Linked DNA regions of Oryzias latipes. Each later gene encodes a partner of the first gene's protein in a complex. Links are inferred from orthologs where the notes say so. Each region holds a gene or a part of one and is shown on either strand. Other genes may lie near its edges. The genes, in order: hcrtr2 and hcrt.

Region 1 (3,824 bases):
TGAGCCTCTTTGTAATGAAACAGGTAACTTTGATGTACGCACCTGCTGGCACCAGAGCTTGTGGCATATTTGAATATACGCCAGAACCATGAGGCACAAAGGTGCAAAGTAGGTAACAATGAAGAAGCAGGTGTGATAAATCTTTGGGTAGATCTCATCTGGGAAAAGAAGAACAGTTGACAACTCAATACACAGAGGTGGGTGGTTAATTGATGTTTGTCAGCCTTGCAAAGTAGAGATAGATAAAGACTCAGACAATAAAGATTAATTGGCATCTGTATTTGGATTACAGGTGAAGCATGAGAGGCCCTGTTTTCAACATTCCTTTCTGTTTCTTTTTGGAAGCTGAATTTAAGTGGTGAAAATTGGTCAAAAATGAATAAACATGGAAAAATGAGAAAAGTTGTCATTCTTTACCTGAAATTTTAACAGATAAATTACGGATAAACCATGTTAAAAACGGGAAGAAGTGTGAATAAACAGTGCAAATAACGCATACAGTGTGGGGGGGGGGGGGGGGTATTTAGTCAGGCAATTGTGCAAGTTCTTCCACTTAAAAAGATGAAAGAGGTCTGTAATTTTTTATTATAGCTATACCTCAACTATGAGAGACAAAATAATTGGCTGTGTGAACCGTTTGAATAAAGAAAAAAAAATGTGATTTGACATGCCTTTCAGGTAATTTCCAGTGCACACAGTGTGGCCTCTAAAAGAGTGAAAAATCAAAATGCTTTGACACATTTAGAAAACCTCTGAGACCACTTACCTCCCCAGTGTTCATCGCACACTGTGAACAGCCTGGTCTTGTTTGTAAGTTCAGGCAGCAGACTGCTGCACTCCATCACAATGGCCTGAGGAATCATGATTATGCACGACACAACCCAGATGGCAACAATACTCTTGCGAGCCCTCCTGGCTGTGCTCTTGAACATGAGCGGGTGACAGATCGCATACCAACGGTCCTGGGCGATGCAGCTCAGTGTCAGAACTGACACGCAAACAGAGATAGTCTGTAGAGGAGACATAAAAAAAAAAAACCTGCTCAACAGAAACATGATCATTCTGGGAACACAATTTTTTTATGCAACCAAAGTAGATGCCAGTGTTTCTTCTTTGGATATTCTTTCCCAGATAAGATTGTCACTAAATAAATACATTTAACTGTTTGATGTAAAATAAATGGGCTCATTAAATAATTTTAAGGTGAAACCATAGACTTATTTAAAGTTATGGATGACGTCAAAGTTTGTCTCACAAACACAGTTTAGTAGAGCATGACCCTTTTTCATTTTGTGGAAAAACAAATTGATGGTTAAAAGCCTAGCATAAGCCTAAGGAGCTCCAGGGCTCAGTCCAATTCAATTTTATTTATACAGCCCAATTTTACAACACAATTGTCTCAATGGGCTTCACACCAAAAAAATGCTTAGTTTAATACAAACTTTCACTTGGTTAGTCAGTTACTGTCAATGCCATGTTGAAAATTACAATGGAGTCATGATTGTTTTGAAAATATCATCTGCACAACATTTGCCTATAAATGTTTTCAATTATTTCAATGACTTTTTATTATCGGTTTAAGATTAACCCTCTGCATAAAGTTGGAAGGTTTTAGAATTTAAACAAACGTTTCAGTGCGTTTTGTGGTTTTTCAACCAAAAGTAAGTTGTTTCGCAGTTTTATTTTATTTTATTGATTCAAGTTTTTTTTTTTTTTTTTTACTGGAAATTGTAATTGCGTTTTAAGACTGCCTAAGATTTTTCTGTGTATGAAAAGCTTTAAATTATCTCAAAAAAAGACGCACAAAATTGCTTTGCACTGGTCAGGTGGTTCCTAACTGAAATGAGATTTGACACATTTGTAAAACAAACACTAAGAATCACAGTCTTAGAACCCTGAACCTGTAATCTATTCAATATTTATAATTGGAATTAGGGATGAAATAATCTCTGTGAGTAAAACGTTTGTCCTCTGGTATTAAACTCTTTCTGCTTAAGTCAAAACAACCAAATAGTCTTTAAATATATCCTGAAAATAAAGAAATACATGTTGTCAAAAAGATATAATTGAAATGAGCTGCAATGTCCACAAACTTTTTCCTGGCGTGTTATACCTTAAATTCAAAGATCTCCTGCAGTCTGGCACTGTGTTTGATTTTTTTCCTTTGAGGTAAATATACTCATCTTTTTGATGATGTTTGTGTGATAATTTTTGCATAAATGCATACAATTGTCTGTCCAATGTTAATTTTATTTCTGCATTCATATAAGAAATGTATGCTGACAAGAATCTCATTATATGGGGCATAATAATCTAAAATGCAATGATGTTAATTTCAAATTTTGCCTAAGAGACTCATGAGCTGAGCTCATGATTAATTACAATATGTGATGATGCAAAGACCCTTACACCTGCAATAGTCCTTGCAAAGATCGAGAAGACTATTATAGTGCTTATTACTATCATTTTCCTCATTTAAAGCATTGAATAAACCAACAAAGCTTGAAATGTCAGTGTTTAGGTGCAATTGAAAAAGCTGGGTAGCTAAAGTTAGTGGAACAACAAGTGAAGTTACACATTTAACCCTTGTGCTATCTTAGATGACCCACCTTTACATTGACGTGTTCTCTCTACCATAACAATGATGGATAAAGGTGGAAAGATTTCATGTAATCCATGGACACCAGTGAAGATCGCAAATCATTGAAGAAAAAAGGATCCGCGCACTGTCTAGTGGGTCTAGATGACCCAACTCCCAATGTTAAAATACCCAGGATAGCACAAGGGTTAAGAGAAAAACTTTCCGCCTTTGAGTATTTTATTTAAACTTTGATCCAAGTCTAGACACTCATAAACAGGACCGTTTGTATGAAAAAACAACAAATGTGACCTCCTACTCCATATTTGTTTACAATGTTTAATGGATACACAAAAAAAAAAAAAATGACCAGATCATCTGAAAAATAAATTGACAAAGAAAATTAAATTGGTAAAGACAAGAAATCAACAATTTCCTAGTTTTAATGTTTCAAAATTTAAATAAGCAAAGAAATATTCTTTCTAACATAATTTTTGTCTGTCACTAACTGGAGGCGTCAATGGAACCTTCCAGCACACTAATGTGTTCCAGTCAGTCTGTTTAACAACTGGTAAATGGTTTTTAGAAATTGCTGATGACACACTCTACTGTAAGTCTGCATGCAGATGAGCCAGTTTCTGGCAGTCTGGGACAGACATGAAGATCAGCAACAGTTTTTCCATGTAACTGTTTTCTCAGAGCACAGACTCTCAGCGTTATCTACATTGCACAGCTGTCTCGCTGTGAAAAATACTTTAAAGAAGCACGATGTTTGAAACCAGAACAACATCAGGCCTGTCGTGGAACAGGAAGATTCCCATATGAGACAATTTTCCAATTTGAGGATGTTGTAGATGACTTGAATTTTAATGTCCACTTGGCTGAAACTTTGGACAATCATTAAGCAGATAAATCACAATACAATAAGAGAGACCCATTTTACTTTTTTGCTTTGTTTTATCTTTAAAAGAAAAGGGACAAAAAGGCACATTTTATAAATTAGTTCATTCCTAATTCTTCCTTCTTTTTCTTTTTTGTCATTTTTAAGCTATGAGCACAAAACATTTTCCATTTTCACTGTCCATTTCCAGCAATGTGTGCACTTACTGTAACTTTGAGACCCGAAGCTTTAGGTTAAACATTTAAAATTAAGCTTTTGCAGCTTAAAAGCTTGCTGACCGATAATTACAAAATCCCTTTATAAACTGTGTATTTTGCTTTATAAGTTTTACGCACATTAATACAT
Region 2 (4,315 bases), on another chromosome or scaffold:
TTCTTAGGATCATTTTGTACCCCGCCAGGTGAGATCTTTCATGGAGCTCCAGCAGATTGCCACTTTTTTGCTCCAACAGTTGATCTCTTCTCAGCAAAAGAGGGCTACATTCTCGTCCTCTTCTGTGGCTACAATCTTGTCCCTGGTGTCCTCAGGCAGCTCTTTGGTAGTGGTGAAGAGGTTGCTGTCTGACTGTTTATGTGTGTGGACAGGTGTCTCTTATACAGATAACCTATTCAAACAGGTGGTATTAATACTGGTAATGAGTGGAGGATAAAATAACTTCTTAAACTATAGAAATCAGTTTTAACTTACATTTAAAATTATGTGGAATATACCAAAGACCAAATGGACCATAGGACACATTTTGGATATTTTTCTCTTACATTGATGCCACTAGGGTTTCGTACGGGTTAAAGAAGGAATAACAGGCCTGTGAGGGACAGAATTCTTGCTTTTTTGTAGGAGATACATATACACATGTATATATATATATATACATAGTGTGAGTGGTTCAGTCACTACTTTCTGGTTTAAGAGAAGAAGCCTTTTACTTCATTGATCGAGATATTTCACACACTTCAGATTTACAATGACTTTTTGATTTAATCTCCAGTCTATAATTATAGAAGAAAAGTATTTTCCTTCCTTAATCACACAAACTCAAATGATTTACAGTCAGCACAATGATTTTTATTGAGTCACCAAACCTTTTGAGACACATTTGTGGAGCTTTCCGACATCGCCTTGTAAAAGAAAAATGTAAGAAAATAAAGGAAAGAGTCTGTCCAGAAGAAAAGAAGTGACAGTGACCTCTTCAGTTTTTTTAAATACCTGTCCTAGTATCATTTATTTTAGAAAGGAAAAGGTGTCACGATAGTGGTTTTAGACAGGGCCAACCACTTCATGTACTCCTCCCCTGCCATCTCCTCAGTCCTCTTCCCCATGGTCAGGATTCCTGCTGCTTGGTTCCTGGAGCTGTGAAGAAGTTGCTGGAGTCGACTTTCCAGGCGATGCTCCTCCTCGTTCCGCTTTCCCAGAGTGAGGATCCCAGCAGCAGCATCTCCTGCACGGGCTCCACCAAAACTCTTATTGCCAGAGCCACAGAACAGCGCGTAAAGGGGACAGGACCGAGACGGTTTTCTGCAGCACTCGGCCACACTGTGAGGGTCACAGTCCGCTTGAGACAGGAGCAGCATCAACACGAGGGCCAGGGATTTCTGCTCAGCAAAACAATCAGACATTCCGAGCAAAAAGTCATCCAAAGGAAACTTCCATTTAAGATACTTCCTATCTGACAGCCGGCATTTTATTAAGTACTCGGTGGCATTTCCACTGCAAAAACGGAATTCTAAGAAAGGTCTTTATTTTGAGAAAAATTGTCTTTTCTGTCTTATAAGAAAAATAATTTTATCAATACAGTTTTTCAATAGCAAAAGAATCTTAAGAAAACATGATAGAAATTTTCATAAGAATTCTTGATCAGACCATTTTTCATTCCCCATTGGCAGATTTATTTAGCTTATTTGAAGAAAATTATTTAAATTTGAAGACTTCTAGACTTATTTGTTTCGGCACATGTTTGGTGGCTGGCTCAGAGAAGACAATTTAAAAAAAGAATGCAATTAAAATATAACATAAAGTAAAATGATTGTAAAGGATTGCAAACTTTTGCTAAGATGGTTGTTCAATTAATTAATAAAATGTTTTTCTTTAAGTTTGTCCCACAACCTGCTTTAATCTTGGTGAACATAATAATATTAACTTTGTTAGACATTTAATATATTCTACCGGGTTTTTCAGTTGTTCTAACTTATTTTGGTTTTTCAACCTTTCCAGTCTTTTTTTCAAAATCAGTTACGAAAATTTTGTTTTTTTCATTAATAGCTTCAAAACAGACACAAGAAAACTTTTGCTCCTAACTCTTGACAATAGAAAAACTTGATTTGAGAATAAAAAAAAAAACGTAAACTGGAGAGTTCAGTTTGGTTCAATTTTAAGAAAAAGTTCAATAAATGAAGCAAAGATAGACCAACATTCATTGTCATTATTCTTTATTTTCTAAGAATAAGTGCTAGTTTTAGATTTCATGAGACTTTATTAAGATGGGCCAACTTGTACATGTTCGCATTCTGTTCTAAAATGAGTAATTTCCACTTATTACACTATTTTTGGCACTGCAATCGAAATGAACTACAATTAGGTAGATAAAAACTCAAAACAAAATCAAATCATTTGTTTAGAAGACTTATTATTGGTCTGTTAACATTCGATTTGAAGTAATTCTAACAGTTAGCTTTTTTATCTTATTTTTCCCTTTTAAAGGCTTTGTGGAACTCTTGGTTTCTAGATTTTTATATCTTACTATAGGATTTCTTGTTTAGTAAAGTTACTTGTTGCATATACAGATTATTTTACAACTTTTTCGTGTTTCTTTTGTCCTTTTTTTGGGCTACCTCTTTTTGCAGTCTGCACTAGCAAAGAAATGCCTTCTGTTTGTCGAACTTTTGACCAAAGAGCTTTAGCTAAATTCCTGGTTAAACAGAGATCATATATTTTTATGATTGCGATATCAGCCAACAGCATTAATATTGGTGGAGCATAGTGTGTATTTGGAGTTCTTAAGTAACATTAATTTACACAAAAAGAGATGGAAAAAAACAAACATTTAATAGATTTTTGTTAACGCGTGATACATCTGTCTACATGCTTGATGGTGTGTTCATGCTGTAACTACTCTGAACTAAAGCCATTGGCCTAAAGAAGCTTTCAGGAATAAAGTCTTACACACAGTACTAAAAGTACAAATATTAGTGATAAAGAAGAAAACGAAATGTTTTACCCTGTTGGACGTCTCCATTCCAGCTGCTCTGTAGACGTTTGAGGGGTCCCACATCTTCTGTCTGGTGTTAAAGGTAGTCTAGTTTTCTTATCACTTCATGGAGCAAACGGAGGTCTTTTATATAGTTCTGTGTGGTCCACATCATCATTCCTCAAACCGGCCGTGGTCATGACAAAAACGTACTTTTTTTTAATATCTCATTGAAAGTGCGCCGTCAAGCTTGCAGCCGTTAATTAGACTCGTGTTTCAGAACATCTCCAGGACGTTTTTGAAGAAGTGCAGAAATGTCTTTGTAGGGTTTATTAGGAGATTCCAGCACAATGAGTGCAGAGAGACTCCAGTCAATTAGCTAATGTGTTTGCTGATTCAAAGATACAACACAGAAACGTAGAAAGAAAAACACATTATTATCTTTGACTTTTCTGATGACAAACATGTTTGAAGGGCATACTAATGAGGGGTCATATTTGTTTTAAACAATGTATCATAGTGACGCAACAGAATTGACAAAACAATTGACTTATTTTTAGCATTTGCAGCTAAAATTAACAAAAAGTGATGTTTTATTAAACTTTTTAGTCCAAATTAAATCTTTGATTTAATGATTTTTGGTTAAAACATCACATTTCCTTAAAAAGCAACAACCGACTGTTGAACTCTTGAATCTTCACTATCATTTATCTAATATTTGTTGCCATCTCATGGACATTAATATGCACTGCTTTCAATAAACACAATCAGTCATGATAGAATAAAAGGCCCAGATCAATAAAGAAATCCTTTTAAATCAAGATCAACTAACTGAGTACCACAGCACTTCAGAGGAAATCAATATGCTTTTATAAAACCGTATCGATTTCTTTAGATTGAGCGTGAAGGTTGCTTTCAATATGTTCTAAAAGGCTGGTTAGCATGTTTGTGTGTAAAGGTCAGTCTTAGTGTGAAGTTACATCATTTTCAGAGCAGCTCGATTTTGTACTTGAGCTTATAAGGGTTCTGTTTAGTTTGGTTTTTTCATGTTGTTTTTGGTCATGTTCTAAGTTGCCCTTTGTCTGTCACCATGCCTGGTCTCCTGCATTGACAGAAAGACCTGTGCAGGGTCACCGTGAACACTCCTTTCTGTTTTCTATGGAGGATCGCTGGGGCCGCTCCTCTTCATGTCTATTCCTGAGGAAGGTCGCCGGGGCCACTCTTCATGTTCCCTGTCCCAGAGGATGGCCACTGTTTCTCCCCCTTGGCCATGTTTCCTGTTCCAGAGGAGAGTTGTCTGAGGCGCTACTCTTCATGTACATTCCTGTGGAGGATCGCCGGGGCCGCTCCTCTTCATGTCTGTTCCTTTTGATGGTTGCCAGGGTCATACTTTATTTTCCCCCCTTCAGGTGTCCAGTCTCTGGTGAGAGTCGTTGGGACTGCTCCTCTTCATGTCTGTTCCTTGTCACCCCTAACCCAAACTGTTTTCTGGACTTCTTTTTG

Evidence for each region.
Region 2: the proteins of hcrtr2 (region 1) and hcrt are in contact, whole or in part, in a cryo-EM structure (PDB 7L1U), measured with the Homo sapiens proteins. The link is inferred for Oryzias latipes from reciprocal best matches to the Homo sapiens genes HCRTR2 and HCRT. Residues at the interface, in NP_001371201.1 of Homo sapiens: Thr111, Val114, Trp120, Pro131, Gln134, Thr135, Val138, Gln187, Val209, Cys210, Asp211, Phe227, Thr231, Ile320, Ser321, Asn324, Lys327, Arg328, Phe333, Ala334, Thr336, Arg339, Val342, Tyr343, Phe346, His350, Tyr354; in NP_001515.1 of Homo sapiens: Asn89, His90, Ala91, Ala92, Gly93, Ile94, Leu95, Thr96, Met97.

Annotation. Positions count from the first base shown.
Region 1 is NC_019873.2:24,232,343-24,236,166, reverse strand, and holds part of hcrtr2 (orexin receptor type 2), read right to left. Parts: intron 1,011-3,824; coding exon 767-1,010; intron 159-766; coding exon 43-158; intron 1-42. UniProt on the Homo sapiens protein: Nonselective, high-affinity receptor for both orexin-A and orexin-B neuropeptides. Triggers an increase in cytoplasmic Ca(2+) levels in response to orexin-A binding.
Region 2 is NC_019866.2:6,190,533-6,194,847, forward strand, and holds hcrt (orexin), read right to left. Parts: upstream 2,988-4,315; 5' UTR 2,897-2,987; coding exon 2,843-2,896; intron 1,221-2,842; coding exon 855-1,220; 3' UTR 539-854; downstream 1-538. UniProt on the Homo sapiens protein: Neuropeptides that play a significant role in the regulation of food intake and sleep-wakefulness, possibly by coordinating the complex behavioral and physiologic responses of these complementary homeostatic functions.